Oryzias latipes: one gene and its partner. The protein of the gene in region 1 purifies or fractionates together with the protein of each later gene. This does not show direct contact. Links are inferred from orthologs where the notes say so. Each region holds a gene or a part of one and is shown on either strand. Other genes may lie near its edges.

Evidence for each region. Proteins that work in one complex are often made in the same cells at the same time.
Region 2: the proteins of rbm28 (region 1) and rexo4 purify together in Homo sapiens (affinity purification with mass spectrometry; 3 studies listed by BioGRID and IntAct, with this or other methods). This does not show direct contact. The link is inferred for Oryzias latipes from reciprocal best matches to the Homo sapiens genes RBM28 and REXO4.

Annotation. Positions count from the first base shown.
Region 1 is NC_019864.2:20,015,318-20,023,458, forward strand, and holds the start of rbm28 (RNA-binding protein 28), read right to left. Parts: upstream 5,068-8,141; 5' UTR 4,810-5,067; coding exon 4,692-4,809; intron 4,480-4,691; coding exon 4,333-4,479; intron 4,249-4,332; coding exon 4,145-4,248; intron 4,067-4,144; coding exon 3,991-4,066; intron 3,911-3,990; coding exon 3,818-3,910; intron 3,747-3,817; coding exon 3,675-3,746; intron 3,282-3,674; coding exon 2,964-3,281; intron 2,877-2,963; coding exon 2,810-2,876; intron 2,665-2,809; coding exon 2,555-2,664; intron 2,475-2,554; coding exon 2,401-2,474; intron 2,313-2,400; coding exon 2,177-2,312; intron 2,058-2,176; coding exon 1,993-2,057; intron 1,858-1,992; coding exon 1,699-1,857; intron 1,585-1,698; coding exon 1,435-1,584; intron 1,322-1,434; coding exon 1,247-1,321; intron 1,169-1,246; coding exon 1,060-1,168; intron 630-1,059; coding exon 491-629; intron 330-490; coding exon 215-329; intron 1-214. Other genes in the region: transmembrane protein 53, read right to left, coding at 6,872-7,233, 7,370-7,616, 7,858-8,094. UniProt on the Homo sapiens protein: Nucleolar component of the spliceosomal ribonucleoprotein complexes.
Region 2 is NC_019877.2:8,246,695-8,254,880, reverse strand, and holds rexo4 (RNA exonuclease 4), read right to left. Parts: upstream 4,242-8,186; 5' UTR 3,970-4,241; coding exon 3,754-3,969; intron 3,641-3,753; coding exon 3,321-3,640; intron 3,249-3,320; coding exon 3,102-3,248; intron 2,063-3,101; coding exon 1,869-2,062; intron 1,767-1,868; coding exon 1,678-1,766; intron 1,596-1,677; coding exon 1,521-1,595; intron 1,409-1,520; coding exon 1,334-1,408; intron 1,243-1,333; coding exon 1,105-1,242; 3' UTR 572-1,104; downstream 1-571. Other genes in the region: pigp (phosphatidylinositol N-acetylglucosaminyltransferase subunit P), read left to right, coding at 4,774-4,855, 5,852-5,924, 6,038-6,156, 6,474-6,589; putative nuclease HARBI1, read left to right, coding at 7,366-8,053.

The DNA of each region.
Region 1 (8,141 bases):
CCTTTGCTGTGTGTTAAAAAGGTCAAGTACAGTGTGATTGTCCAGTAAAAGAAAAGTTGTACATTTCTAATAAAGAAACTTAAAGGAAATCTAAACTAATCGGTCGGAAATAATTATATCGGCCCATCCCTATTTAAAATATTTGTTTTGATTTTGTAGATCATGGCTGGCAGTTAGGATATTATTAGATGGAAATCTTTGAAAGCATACAAACCGGATTTTTAAGCTGTGACGGCTTTTCAACCATCAACCTCCTTTGATTGCTTCTTTTAGATCCTGGCTTTGCTTTTTTAGGAGGCGGGGCTTGTTGCTTTCCTTTGTCACGCATTCTGCAAAAGGTCAGAGTTTATTTTTTTATCGTCCAGATCAAATTTAAACTAATATTTCATCTTTAAACAAAACAACAACCTAATGCTTAAAAATCTACAAAACAATTAAGATTTATTTAGGGAAACAATAAGTTATGAGTGTCTGTAACCAGGAATAGTACCTGATCTTAGGCCCTCGGTGAGATGGCAAAGGTAGAACCTTCTTTCGTTTTTTTCCATTCTTCAAATCGACATGCTCGACCGCAGCTTTGGTCTGGAAACCTGAATAGAATCCATGTTGATTCTGCTTTTCGGGATTACCTGAGAAATAAAATAAACAGGAGAAAAAAAGAGACATTTCTAACTTGCTGAACATTTTAATGGTTAGCATTCAGTGTAAGGAGAAAAAAAAGAAACCCATCAGTGATGAAATGTGCAACTGCTTCTACGCAGCTTACTGTTTCTTTACAGTCGTGCTGTTGTCTGGTTCAAACTGCTTTGTCAGACTTCCCTTTTCCTGCGTCTCGTCATGAGTAACAGAACAACTTGAGCACAAATTCTTCCAGTTTACTATCCCAAGGAACACTTCTGTCAACCACATCTATCTACCACTTCCGCATATCTCAGTCAGTTGAAGGTCTGAAAGTCCTGAAGAATCGTGACACATTGGTGTCTCCCACCTCGATCTCAAGACTTTTAACCTGTTCTCAGTGCAGCTGGTTTTCCCCAACTGAAAAGAAATCAGACTTACCTTTCTTTTGATCTGGTTCTTCATTTCCACTTTTCTGAAGTCTGGCGTTGTCTCCAAGGGTTTTCTGTTGAGGCTTTCCCCCTTTAAAAGCATTACTTTTCAAGAAATCCTGTCAAATCACCCACAGTGTCAACGAAAGCCATTAAAGCGTATTAGTTGCAGAGCAAACATATCTGTGAAGGCGTACCTTGTGTTTTTGCTTTCTGATTTCTTTTATTTTGAGTTTCCTTGAATCTTCCAGAGAAAACTCCACAATTGGTCTCTGTGTAAAGAAGCAAAACACAAAAATATTAGAGTTGGTGTATGTTTTTAGGAGATAAAAAAGAATGGCAGCAAAGACTGATTTCACAGACTTTAAGTTTGTAGATAGCGTACCTTATGTGCACTGAAGATGTCTGGGTTATTATTTAGGTACCGCAGAGTGCTAAGAGCTTGTTCGTGCTCCTGGAACTGAACAAAGCCGTAACCCAGGGACTGTCCTAGAACCTGACCCCTCTCTGGCTTCTTGTCATACATGACTCGACACTAAAACAACAGAATTCAAAACAGATTTAGAAGAAAACCGCAAAAAGAAATCCAAACAGGCAAAAACAGATATTTGCTTAAAGCTCAAAACTAGGTGAATCCATCCCAATCTACCTCCGTGATCCGAACTCCTTTCACTCCTTTAACAGCTTGAAGGCAGAGAGCTTTCAGCTTCTTATTGTCCACCGACTTAGGCAGGTTATGGATGCACAGGCGAGTTTTGGACACGAACACACTGATGTCCCGAAGCTTGGCTCTTTTCATTTCCTCAAACTTAAAAAAAACATAGAATGTCTTTGAATTATTTTTAAAAGAAGAACAAATTAGAAATAATAAACAACATAGAAGACTGAATGAAGCCTGGTGCATAAAAAAAATGAAAGAATTTTCCCATAAAGATCGACTGACTCGAGTCCTTTTGGCCATGTCTGCCTCAGAAACCCCCTCAGCAGCCTTCGTCCCAGAACGAATCACTGAAAGTTAAGAAGAACATTTACACTGAAAAGCTTTCCATGGGTAATGCTAAGATTGCAAAATTAAAGCCCCTCTCGACATTATCAGAGTTATGAAAGGCTAAAATGTGCGGACTTACGCCCCTCCCTGGCAAGGTACAGATTCCTGCTGCCCGTTTCTACTTTCTTCTTATCGACTTTCAGCTTGACAGCGTCTTCTCTGGACACTGCTGCAACAATCGACAGCTTTCTGCCATCCACACGGATGCCACCTTTCTGCAGCACAGGCGAAGAAAAGGTCATCCGTTTTACTAAAACAGTTGATGAGAAACAAAAAAAAAAAAGAGAGAAGCTTATCCGTTACCTCTGCTTCATCCTGGGCAGCAACTATACATCGGTCTGCAGCGTCTTTGGTCTTAAACTGAGCAAATGCACAACCTGGAAAAGTGACATACAAGGTTGTAAGGGTCAGCGATTTGATTTAAAGCAGAAAAGCCTTTTAGTTGTTCCCTTCTGACCTTTTGAATGTTCTGTGTCTGGATGAAGGAGGATCTTTATGTAATTTAGCTCTCCGTACTGAAGGAGAACGCTCTCCAGTCCTTCTTCATCCGTATCAAAAGACAAGTTCCTAAAAACCAGAAGGAGGCATTGTGATTTGACGCGACAGAATGTGAACGCTAAAAAACGTCTGTTGTGTGTTCAGCTAGCCTGAAAAGGATTCAAGTTTATTGACTTAAAGGAGCATTTAGGTTTAAGTTGGAGAAGAGGCCAACCTTATGAAAACTGTTCGGCCCTCTTTCACATCAGAAGGGAGATCTTTTTTCCGAGCTTTTCTTTTAGCTAAAAATGAAATCCACACATAAAATATACATTTCTTAGTTTCCATAAAGACCACATTCTATGTTCATGTATATGAAATATTTTTACCTGATTGATCATCATCATCATCTTCTGCATCCTCACTGGCTGAATCGCCATTGGCTGAATCGAGGCCATCATCATCATCATCATCATCATCATCATTGCTATTGTCGTCATCGTCATCTTCCTCCTCTTCTTTTCTATGGTCATCCTCATCTTCACTGTTTCCCTCCTCATCTTCACTTTTTTCATTGTCCTCACTGTCATCTTCATCCTCACTTTCATCTTCCTCCTTTACCTTAGGCTCTTCTACTGGCTGCACAACTTGGCTCTGTTCTTCATCCTCATCACAAGTGTCACTTGCTTGTTTTGTGTTCTTGTTGCCTAAGAAAAAAAATGAAATAACATCTCTGCGAAATTTTCAATCAAAAGAAAAGTCTTTGAACAGTAAAATGTGTTTTTCCTCAAGTCACGCATTTATTACTCTTGTATTCCCAGTAGCTACAGAGGCAGAAGACAAATGTTCCAACTAAACCAAAACTTTTTCTAATAAAATGAGAGCCTTTACATTTGTAACTCATTAGGCATTAAAATATGTAAGGCCTTCTTTTTTAGACTCTGAAGAACAAAGGTTGTTACCAAGCTTTAACAAAGGCAAAAATAATATTGGTTTTGAAGCACAAGACTTCAAAATCTAACATTTACTTTTGGAAAACTGTCAATTGGAGCTTTTTAAAACCACGACCTGGCTCTAGGGCTGCTCTGAGTCTTCATTACCTGGATGTGATGACTGTGTTGAGGCGGTATATTTGTCTTTAGGTACAGCCCAGTCAACTGCAACAGGTCGACCTGTGATAAAACGGCGTCAAATTAAGTATAAAGAAAAAAAAATGTCAAAGACAAATGTTTTACCCTCTGACCTTTTATCTCCTTTAGGTTCATCGCCTTCAGTGCCTTTGCTGCTCCACACACATTTTTAAACAGCACAAATGCAAATCCTCGCATTTTTCCATCTATTGAAATATTTCTTAAAGTTAAAACAAAGCTGTAATATTTTTGGAATACTGAAAAAAATGAAGGAAAACATGTTCACCGGGTTTCAGGGGAATCTTGGCCTCCAAAACTGTTCCATATTTTTCAAAAACCTCTTTAAGATCATCCTCTGAACACTGAAATGTTAGGAGTTATATGAGATTCTGTGGCACAGACGACTTGCTGTAGAAATCTTTACATGAATAAGTCTGTACCTTAAAACTGAGATTCCTGATAATCAGTCGAGATTTCAGCTGTTGTTTTTTGATGCCAGGGACTTTCTTTGCACCAGGATTTGGTGCTGGATCTGTCTTTTTAACTACAAAAGTGAAGACATGATTACAAAACTTAGACAAGAGTATGTAAGTCAGATCACAGATTGTATTGTTTTCTTCATCCAAACCTGCTTTCTTTTTGTCATCGATCTTCTTCTTTGCCAAAGAAAGAGAGAGCCTCTTCCCATCGAAGTCTTTGATTTCTTTCAGGGCTCGTTGTGCATCATCTTCCATGGAATACTTGACAAAACCGAACCCCCGACATTTTTCTGTACCTGAATTAAAAAACAGGCATAATTAGCTCGGTTTAAAAAATGTCATAGATTCACATTTCTAGTAAATTAATAATAATAATAATAATAATAATAATAAAACTTTGTTTTTCACACCACTAGTGCTTTAATTTGTATGTTATTTTAAAATTTCTCGCCGTTATTTAACATATTGTCATGTGTTCTGTTTTATGGTATTGGGACAACAACAGTACCTTTTTCTCGGACCACGAAGCATTGTTTGACCGGACCGATTTCTGAGAAGATTTCTTCAAGCCGCTCGTTTGTCGCTGATTCTGGTAAAGACCCAACGAAGATGGTTTGCGTGTGCATGGCCCTCTCGCCTGCGGTTACCGCGAAACACAAAGTTAGCACTAAGTAACCGACTGTATTTAAAAACCGTAAATAAGATTTATCGACCAATCACTCAGCTATTCAGTGAAGGTCTGGGGAGGGGAAAATCGCTTTTAAGGGCACGCGATAACAAACTTAAGTCGCATGTTTACATGAGGGAGAAACCATCTTGAAATTGACAGGAAGTTTGTCGGTTGATGCTTTCTCCCACAAAGCCAGTGTGCTGCCACCTACCGCTCCGGAGGTGAAAATGTCGCTCCGGTTTTGTATAGATCTTTCAAGTGAAGCTCATTCTCAATTAAAATGCCCACTTGATCCTAATCTACAACTGACCGTGTCAAATACATAAAACTTGCAGACAATTGTGTAAGTAATAAAAGGCATTACAAAATCAGTGACGTAAAATATTATTTCTTATATGTTAGCAACTCTTTCATTTCAGCATATTTACACCTTAAACTACAATAAAACCATTTGGCATTAGTTTTAAAAAAGCCACAAATAAAACATGTAATGGGCTTTTGGTTGGTATTTTAATAGCTTAATTTTTAATTAATTTTATTTTTTCATAGGAATTTGATTGCAGTGAATTCATTGTTGGCCATCTTAAAACGTTAAAATCTACATTTTGTTTTTATTTCTTAGTATGTAGGCCTGTTTTTCCCCAACCATTTCATTGTAAGCTAGATGTTAATTTTCGTTTGTTAAGCAGCATTTTCCCTAAGAAGTTTCTTATATTTTTTTTATGGACCGATTGAAACTGACTAAAGTTAAATCTTTTTTTTTAACTTTAATAGAGGCAAACGAGTCACTTTTTATTAATCCATATTGCCCCTCATGTAAATGTGAAATTCATTTCCCACTTCAGAAACTATGTTTTCTCTCTGCAAGTGTCATGAAGAAAGGAACTGAAAGGTACTAGAGGACTTATGACCCATTATGAAAAGTATTACAGATGACTTTTAAAAGACAAATAATTGATAATGTAATACAGATTATAGCTTGTTCAACATTGATTGGGTTTATATGGAATAAATCAAGGAAAAAACACACAAAGAAATCAATTTCATTCAGTTTTTCACATTTTTTTTCCCTAGTAATTTTCAAGTTACAAGCATAAAAAAGTGCCACATTTATAATATTCCATAACAGAAATGTTCAAGTACAGAGATGTAGTGTCATAATGAAGATTTAAAAGCATCAAGTCACAGAGAAAATTAAAATTTGAATTTAAAATGATTACTGGTAAGTCAGCTACAGATAACAGTCCTTCATTTCTTTAACAAAACTCAATATGACGATGCACAAAAGCGATTTCTCCCTGGTTCCACATCGTTTCATGACATTTAAAAACAGGCTGTTTCAAATGGACCAAAATCAGTCAACAACACGTCCTCTAAATGTTAGAGACCACAATAAAAAAAAAAACTGCACCCGTCCACTTGTGTCAGAGTGCTAAGAAGAGAGAATCTCGGAACATAAAACTGATTTAATTTTCTTCTAAACAGTTAAAAGTGTCAACATTTTGGTTGTATTCATTTCACATCTTTAGATTTCCAAATAGCTACTCCTTCCAACAGTTTATCCCGTCTCGACCGATTTGTCACCTTTTGATTGATTGTCAGGATAAAATCTCTTAATCAAGTGAGTCTAAAGGAGTTGTTCAGCTCAGTGGAGATCCGTTATTGAAATGGAAGACATTTCTGGAAGCATCTCTCTTCTCCACAACAGTTTGTCTTGTGTTTAGAAATGCTGAGTTCACATTTGCATCGGCTTTGCAACTTTTTTGCCAACATTTAACACGTTAAATATTAAGATAAGAACGTTTGTAAAAGCCAAAAACAAGAAACAAACGGAAAATTTGTCAATGAAGTTGTCAAAACAATAACTTCAGTAGATTTATAAAGTTCACAGTAAGTGTGTAAAACTGACTAATTTGATTTCTGGGACTTAAATTAACCTTGAAATGGTGAAACTGTTATTTATGCTGAGAACATTTTATTTAAACCCTGCTTTGGATCTGCATTTAAAATGAACCTTCTTACATCTTTGCCTTAAGAGGGGAGATTTGAAGGGAGTGTAGGAAGGAGTTTAGGGTGGTCAGATATTCTTGAGGATACCTCCTTAAGTGACCCGCATGTGTTGAGTCCTCCCACTTCTTTACAGAGACGTCCATTCCATGCTTCTTCCAGTAATCAATGAGTTTCTCCACCGTTTGCGCATGGCTCATCACATCATTCTCGCAAAAGAACATTAGTGCAGGGGCTCTGACTGGATTGTTCCAGAAAACATCAATGCTGGAGTTAAAGTGGTCCACCGTTTGGGTTTTAAAGATAGTGAAGTACAGCAGGCTTATTTGTTTAATCAAGGTCTCAAAACGAGGAAAAACTGTTTTACCAAGACCTAAACAGACAGACAGGAAAAAAACAAAGACATCCAATATTATTTTTTACCTAAAATAAAAAAAGCTGGTTTTATATACATAATTTATTGAAGAAAAAAAAAATCCATTCAGTACTTGATGCTTGAACCCACTTACCTGTGGCCATTTGCTCCAATGAGCCTACCACCAAGCTGTCATAAACTTGACCTTTGATCCTACTGGCAAATTCCTGGTATTTCTCTTGGTCGTGCGACATATGAACAAGCAGTTGGGCAAATGTGTAGCCGCCAATTGAGAAAGCGTGGACAAGCAGAGGCCGGGACATAAAGCGATCACTCAGAAGCAAATCCAGCAATGTTTTCCCACGGTCTAGTCCCCATCGAGGCCACAGGAAATCCTTTACCTAGTAAAAAAAAATTAAAAGAGCAATTTGTAAATAAATGTAGGTATTCAATTCAAGATCAGAAACCTAAATAAATAAAAAAAATGCAATTTACATAATTTTATTCCATTCCACTGCAGTTGTTGCAGAAGATTTTAACATCTCCTGCTTAATTTCACTGACCTCTGTGATTTTTATTGCATGTTTTAATAATATGAAGTTTAAATAAAGTTATTATTATTTTTTTTAAAGAAGTCTTTACCTCACTCTCCACCACGATGACGTCGAAGCCGGTGCGAAAGTAAATCTCACAATACTTATCCACGGCTTGTGGACGTGAACCCAACCACGGCAACATCAGCATTAGTGGTTTGGTGATCGGACTTCCGGAACCCGTAGCTGTTAGTTCACTCATATACAGGGTCACGTTTTTACAGAGGTGCTGGGCAGTAATGCCTCTGCTTAGCGCTGTTCTGGCCAACATGGTCGCCGACAACATTCCGAATATGATGACAGAGAAAGGTCTGCAGAGGACACAGACAGACC
Region 2 (8,186 bases), on another chromosome or scaffold:
TTGAAACAAGTCCATATTGATCTGAACACGATAAAAGGGTTAAATAGAAAAACCCCAATTCCTGTTTGAATTAAGTGATTGCTTTTGAAACTTTTCAGCGCTTCTAGTCGACAGAAGGGAGTCAGTTGGCGTTAAAACCAAAAGAATTTTTTTTAAATTCTTTCCATTAAATCAAATGTCCAGGTCAGATTCCAGATGTCCCTCCCTATAGAAAGAAAACATTAGAATATAAAACTGATGCTCTAAGATAACCACAATTCTTATAACTTTCTGTTGGTTGGAGAACATACATCTGTCTTCTGGCCTAATAAAGTAATGATGGTAAATGGCGTATACTTATGTAGCACTTTTAAATTAGATATTTTACTTATTAAATTAAATTTAAATCATGAAAAATATTAAAGACTACATTTATTTAAATAGAGAAAACTCAAAAACAAGCTTAAGAACTGTTGTTTCATTGTTTTAGATTTGTCATTTGCACCTTCAATAAGCATGAAAATGTAATTTTTTAAATATGTTTTCATATTTAAATACTTTACTTTTTTAAGTAAAAAGACCAGACCAGATCAATTGTTTCTCAATTTATTTAAAAAACAATAATCCATATGAAAAAAATACATCAACAGACATTGAACTTGCACATACAGGGGTCATTTTTTGTCAGAGGTAAAAGATACATTGTGGAAAAACAACTTCTTCACTGCTGGAAAATGTCTTAACAGGAAAAGATGGTTTTACGCTCAAACGAATGTTCAGACACACAAAACTGTTGAAACTTACATGTGACGGCCATCTAACATTTTTACAACCCTTCTGGGAATACTTACGTTTTTTTCTACATTTTTTAAGATCTCTCTTTTTTAATACATAGGCTGACAAAAAATGAATACAAATTCAAGCTAAAGCTTTGAGCCTCCTGTTTAAATAGGTTAAATGTGCAGCACTGTGCTTTAAACAAACAAGTCTCCATCCGAATCAGGCTATCCATGATGATATATTTTGTCTTCCTTTTTAAAAGAACTTACACTTTTTTGTGAAAAGTTTAATTTACAAAACATATGTTTAACCTCTGAATTATAAGTTATATTTGGATAATTGTGTTTACTGATTTTGTTTTTTCCTGGGCCTCCTCTCATTCTTCTTATTAGAGTCGCTGTTTTTCTTGCTTGCTTTCAACTCTGCTTCCCACTGTTTTTTCACCAAAGTGTACAACCTCATGGTGGCCTGAGCATCTTGGACCTGCAACACACAGAAAATGTTTGTTTTTGTTTTTTTCAATCTCTTATCATTATCAGAATAAGAAAAATGATGTATTTTATTTCCAACTTACAGAAGAGTGTTCTCCCTGCTGCACCTTCACATGCAGGATTTCTCTGCAGAGGAGTTTCAACGAAGGTCGGCCGCTCTAAAATATAAAATCATTTATAAACTTGTTCTTATTAAGATGAGGTCTGGAACCTTCCACAGACGATCTACCAGTAAGTCTCAGTAAAAACAAAAGAACTTTCTATAATTACCCCTACAGTCTTCCGAAAGGGTTTATACTTCTGAGTGTCCCGAATGTGCTTCTTTGGATGATCCAAGAGAAGAATCTGAAACAGTTGACAGACTCTGTAAGAGGAGAGCTACAGCTGTTTTATTGGAGCACACATTTATTTTAAGGCAACACAATACCTTTAAGTCATTGTGAATTGCATGACCAACCACAATTCTTCCTTGCAGAATTTCAGCCACCTCCTTTTGCACAACATGCACATCCTCCCCTGTAAAAAAAAAAAAATCACATTTTGACACTGTTCAAAAGCACAGAGGATTGTTTGAAAGCAATAAACATCTAAGTATACAGTGATGTCTCGTTTTCTTACCATTTTTAATGTGTTCCGGTCGGATCCCACTGACAGCTGTTCTGTAGTCTGTCACCTTCTCTGTGGGTTTGACATATTTGTCATAGATGCATTTTCCAAACTGGTTCACGATGGACACACGTGCCAGGATGCTGTCCTCCCCATCTGGACCGACTCCCACCATCTCACAATCAATAGCTACAGCTTTGGTGATGCTGATATTCATACGTACAAACGTGGAGAAAACAAAAGGTCATCTAATGAAACAGTCCAGTCTTTCTGCTGCCCGTTTTAAAGTTTCTCCACAGAAATCACCTGAAACATTATTAAATCATTTTCTCTTTTGAGAGAAGTAAGAGAACATCTGATGTTATTGGGGTATAACTGACAACTATACCGATTTTTTCAAAAACTTGTTTAAAAAGGCAACGGCTGTTTTTCCAACTACTTCCACTTAGGGAGTCTGTTGGAGCCAGTCTGCTGCAGGTTGAGATGAGCATAAACTCTGCAACAGCTATGGCTGCATATTCATCAGGAAGCAATTGCGAAACAATCCGACGATTTTAAGACTCATACTTATGCCCAAAGAGAGCAACACACACGGGAAGTATCCCACTAGATTAAAGAGTTGCTAGGAATGGACTTTTTCAACACTTTTACACATCCGACCAAGAAAACAATGATGAAGAAGAGCAGCAGATGAGATTAAAACAATATACTATAATAATGATTGTTGAGCAAAAATTATCAAAAAATATCAGGACAAAAAGAAGGACTCCAAATTTGAAATATCTGGTTCTCTGTCAGCTTTAGGATCGATTTTAAGGTACTTTTCTTAGTTTAATGAAATTGCACTTTAATTTTAATCAAGCTGGTGTTAGCAGACGACCCTCCCAGAGCCCTCAGATCCAGTTATGCTGGTGCTCCCTGAGGTCATAAACAAAAACCCACAGCGAGGCCACATGGCAGAACTTTGGCCTAAACTCACCTTTTTAGTTTAGCTTTTATGTCGATTTTACATTTCCTCATGTTTTAATTTGATTTTATGGATTATTTTTTCCTGCTAGTTTTTGTACACAACATGTGTTTATTATAAATACTAATATAATTATTATTTATTTATGTAAAAGACTTTGAGGTGTTTTTTAACAGGAAAAGAGCTCTATAAAGAAAGGTGAATTTCAACTAGAGTTGATCGATAGCAAATGAAGGTGTGGCATTTTGACCGTAAGAACACAAAACAGTTTCTCTTACCCATCAAAGGCGTTCTCTTTTACCAGAACGCTATCTACGTTCTTGCTTGTTTTCATGCCTTGTTTCCTCCTCATGATCTCTGCAGCCTCGGCTCCCATCGTTTCCTCAATATCGTCAGGGTCGACGTCATCAAACCAAAGGTCCTCCCTACAGCAGCACAAGCAAAGATTACAAGGCAAACCCGAACTGAAGTCAAGTATTAGCAATAAGGATACATACTCTGTGGGTTTCCTCTCTTCAGTGACGGGCTTCTTTTTCTTGGCTGGTTTCTCATTGTCTGTCTTTTCGTTTTGCCTTTTCCTTGCACCACCAGGTTGCAGTTTGTCTAAGGCGGCGTGGATCTTTGCCTTCACCCCATCCTCCTTTGGGGCATCGCCACTTTTGACTTTTCCCTCTCTGTCTGTGTGCACCTGGCTGGGAGCAGGGCTCTTATTTTGAAACTTTTTAGGCTCATTTCCTTTAAACTTCTTAGGGAAGACACCATTCCGATGTTTTGGTGTAACAGGCTGCTTCTTCTCTGGCTGACTGCTCTTTAAGATCTGCCATGTTCAGGAAACAAAGAAGATAATTACATTTTAAAAGTAAATACATTTTCACATAAGTAGTTGCACAGCTTATGAAGAGCATAGAGTTTAATATTCGTCAGACAAACCTCTTGTAATGCTTTCCAGTTGGAAGAAAACTGTTGGGGATCCTGTGGTGGTGCAGTTTGCTTTGCTCCAGGATTTTCTAGATTTTTCTTGTTTAGAGTCTTTTGGGAAGTTTGTTTTTTACGATTATGCTTTATAAAAAACTTCTTCCTTTTTTCTTTGGACGTCAGCTGTTGCGTTTTTCCAGCAGGAGTTTCCTTTCCTTTGATTTTAGACATCGTGGTCGCACTTCTTTAAACTTCAGGGAGTATTTGCTGTGTTACACAGCCACGTTTTTGAAAGAAGCCAATTTTAGGTGAGATGTAAACGAAAACAGTTAACGCTGTGTCACATACATATGTATCCCAGATAAAGGGCACACACTGTTTCTATTAGCAAAAATAGCCACTTTATTATCCTCCCAAACAGGGAAAAATTATGTTTCAAGTTGTTTACCTTCACATTCACGAAGCCATGCTGCGGTGCTTCTGGAATGAGTAACAGTCAAATATGTTCGTCAGGAAAAAAGTAACATGATTCGTTCGAGCGGCAGAAAGTTCTCCCTTCGTTGATTTTTTTATTTCTTTCTTTTTTCAAGCTTGAAAATAGTTTTTAATATCTATACATTACTAACAAAGAACACAAGATTGATATGTAATTTTGCTTTATTTCTTTAAAGTCTTTTGTTCCTGATGTACAGTTTCTGACCGAACTCATTTAGGTGATGGACTAACGTTTTGTTGACAGCAGTCAGCTAGGTTTTGGCGTAATATGATTAGATGCACTTTTTACATTTTTATTTATGTTTCGTTTGAAATAGTAGAATTGGATTTTATCTATCGTTGAACCTAGCTGATGGTACGATATAAACAAGCTATTTGAGAAACATTTAAACTGTTTTTAGGGGTTTTTGTAAACTTGCTGCTCTTCTTACGAACCAAAATACACTTATTATCTGTCGGTAAGTTTAGTGACTTTTTGTCATTGTTTATTTTCGATTATTTTACCCAATAGATGGTCTGTTTGTGTTCTGGTTTCAGATCATGGTTGAAAACTCCCCATCACCTATGCCAGAGAGAGCAATCTATGGGTTTGTTCTCTTCCTTGGCTCCCAGTTTGGCTTCTGTAAGTTAAGTCCCATCACATCATGTTCTTTCAAATTAGAAGCATAGTTCTATTTGCAGAAGATGTCATTCAACGTAAAATGTTGTGGAATTACTTATCTCTACGGCTCTTGGTAATATAGCAAAGACATTCTGTTCCTTTTGTTTATGTTGCCATAAATCTAATCTCATTGAAATTTGTAAATGTGCAGGACGACTCACTTGAGTTAAAATAGAATAACCGTTTCTCGGTGGAGATTTAAATCTCCTTACTACTAGGGTGATAAATAGTTGACCACCTGAAAAACAGACTGCCATTAATTCAATGTGACTTCACTTAAAAAAAACAAGCCTTTTTGGATTTTTTTCTCAATAGAATTCTTTCAATAATTAGTTTTTTTTAAGTTATTTATATCTCAAGGTATACATTAGTAAAAGGTTATTGTGTTTATATATATTTTTAAAAATTCAGCTGAAAGATGGCAGGATGGTAGTGACTTAAATATTGTAAATTACTTTAAAACGCTAGTTGTGTGTTGTTGTTGTTTTGGGTAAAAAGTAGGATTTTTTTAATAGGCCTGTTATGTTCATATTTAGGCTTAAAACTACACAATTTAATAAGTCGGCAAAATTGTATTAAGCCAAATGAAGAAGTCTTGTTTAACTTTTAAATTGGATTGTCTTTTTCTCATTTAAAAGAAAATTCTTCTAATAATCCCAATAATTCTAAAAAGATTTCAATTTGGAATATCACATAACTCTGTTGCTTATAAATGAATATTTACACTTTCCTCAAAGGTTGTCTTTTTTATTGGTTGGATGGTCTTTCTGTATGAAAAAGCATCAGATTTAAAAATAAATTGAAATGAAAGGACATATGTTTATACATAAATGTAAGATAATGTAACAGAACAGAAGTAAAAATAGTTCGTGAACAATTTGAAAAAAAAGTCTATCCTAAAAGAGTATCAAAGAATTCTCTTAATAAAATATGTTTGTTCTGTTTCTTTTCCCAAAGTTCTGTACTGCTTGTGGGCATACATACCAGAGGAATGGCTTCATTCTATAGGGCTCACTTATTGGCCTCAAAAGTAAGTAGCAACAATATGACAAGTTAGAATTTATGTTTTATGTCTTTTTACAATGAGATTACCCTAGGCTTGTTAGCCTTTGTTTGAATCTTAAAGTGAAATGTTTGATGCAGGTATTGGGCTCTCGCAGTGCCAATATATATGCTGGTGGCAATACTGGTGTTTGTTGTGGTGTTATTTGGGGTCAACATGAGCAACACAGCCCCACTGGACTCTGTGGACAACATCACAGGTGAGTTTATGGCTGCAGGCTAACAGTCAGCGTAAATCACAGAAAAGCTGTTTGAAGTGAAATTATATTGAATTTTAAAAAAAGGAAGTAAAATCACTGCTAGGAGTAATACAACCGAACTAGCTTTAACATGCGCTAATTGCAGCTGCATTTTTCTAAAAAAGGAACTGTACCTCACATAATAAAAGCATATACTTTTAAAATAAATGAATACAAATAAGGGTGAGTAATTTATGTCAAAAAGGTCGGATATTATGTCAAAATTAAGAAAACACCACCAAGAAAACAGCTTTAAGTGTCTTCTTTGTGTCTTTTAGATATTTATGCACTAAAGCAGAGTGAAGAATGCCTGCAGAAGGGGGGAATACCTCGAATAAAGGATGTCTCCATCAGTGATGTCAACAAAATGTTTTATTTATCACCCAAAACATAACAGTCTGCTGCTGGGTGTTTTGTGGTTTCTCTGTTCATTTATTAATAATCTGGGGGAACCTTTCTGATGGTGTAATATGCCAAATCTGTTCGCTTTTGCAAATTTGTATGCAAAGTTAACAGGTCTGGTTAGTGGGTTTGTATGTAACTTTTGCACTGTGACTTTGCTATTTACCTTTTAAATTTTTTTTCTTAATTGATCAAGATGTTTCCATCATACCAATAAGAAAATATCACTTAAATATGTTCATTTACAGTATGTTTCAGTGCATTAAAGATGAGGTATTTTTCCACAAGATAAACTCAACTTTTGTTATTTTAGACAAAATAGATAAAGTTTCAAAGCTGAACCAAGTTGTGTTTATAGTTTCTGGCTAAACATAAAATAATATATATACTGTATATCTTGTTGTTTCATTGTTGCCTTTGTATTTTTGTACAATTCAAAGATGACAAAAGTGCATAAAAGATATTTTAAAAAAAGATTGGGGGTCCTATTTCCCTCCTTTTCTGTTTACACTTCATTTTATTACAAATAAGGAGATTTTTTGGTGTTTCATTTTGAAAATTGTCCTGTGTGTCATTTATTGTTATTGGCACAAAGATCTTTAAATGTACAGCAGGGGGCAGTAGTGAGTTTGGTGCTGCGTTTTGTTAACTTTATTGATAGACGAAGAAAAGCAATAACAGGGTGCTGCTCCTCTTCCAAGTATTCCACATTTTTGTTGTTTAGTTTTGTGCTTATTGTCTTCAAATACACGTTCCAAACAAACAAAAATGACGTTTGCTGTTCCGGTGTGGCTGGCGGTGCACGAGCTTCTCCTGGAAGAAGAAGCGGCGGAGAAGGAGAACTCGACCTGTTTTGACGAATTCAACGACGCCGCTTTGTTCGAATACTTCCACCTCACGCGGCCCTGCATCGCTTTCATCGTCGACGCCGTTCGAATCCGCATGAAAACGGTCTCCTGCAAGAAACCCTCGCCTCCGGTGGACGCGTTCGTCATGGTGGCTCTTAACTACTTCGCGCATGGCGCGTTCAGCCCGCTCGTGGTGCAGAAAGTGGGCTCGTGCCTGCACGCCAGCCTCACGAGCGTCGCCAGCTCAGCATCGGGGGTCATCGCGGGGATGTCGGACGTGTTCATCTCTTTCCCTCTCACCGCGGAAGCCAGGATTCAAAACGCCGCCGTCATTAAAGAGTTCTGCAAAATCCCCAACGTCCTGGGAGCCATGGCTCCTGCCCAGTTTAAGATCAGGGCTTCTCCGTATGAGAAGGAGTTCTTTAAGTCCTTCATCAACGCGCAGGGCTTCACGTCGGTGGTGAGCCAGTTCATATGCGATTCCCAGGGCAACATCCTGAGTGTGGAGAAATGCTGCGTAGGGAGCACTTCGGAGCAGGAACTCTGGGAGTCCTCATTCAAAGGCAGGGAGGTGGAGGAGGATCTGCACGGACCGTACTGGTTAATCGGTAAGACAATATGAGGAAGCACTTCTTTAAAGTCTGAATCACAGCTGATGCCCCCTAAAGAGATTCCAGCAAATATACACATCCCAAAACAAACTGTTTATTGAACTCTCTCTCTAATAATACCTCAATTATG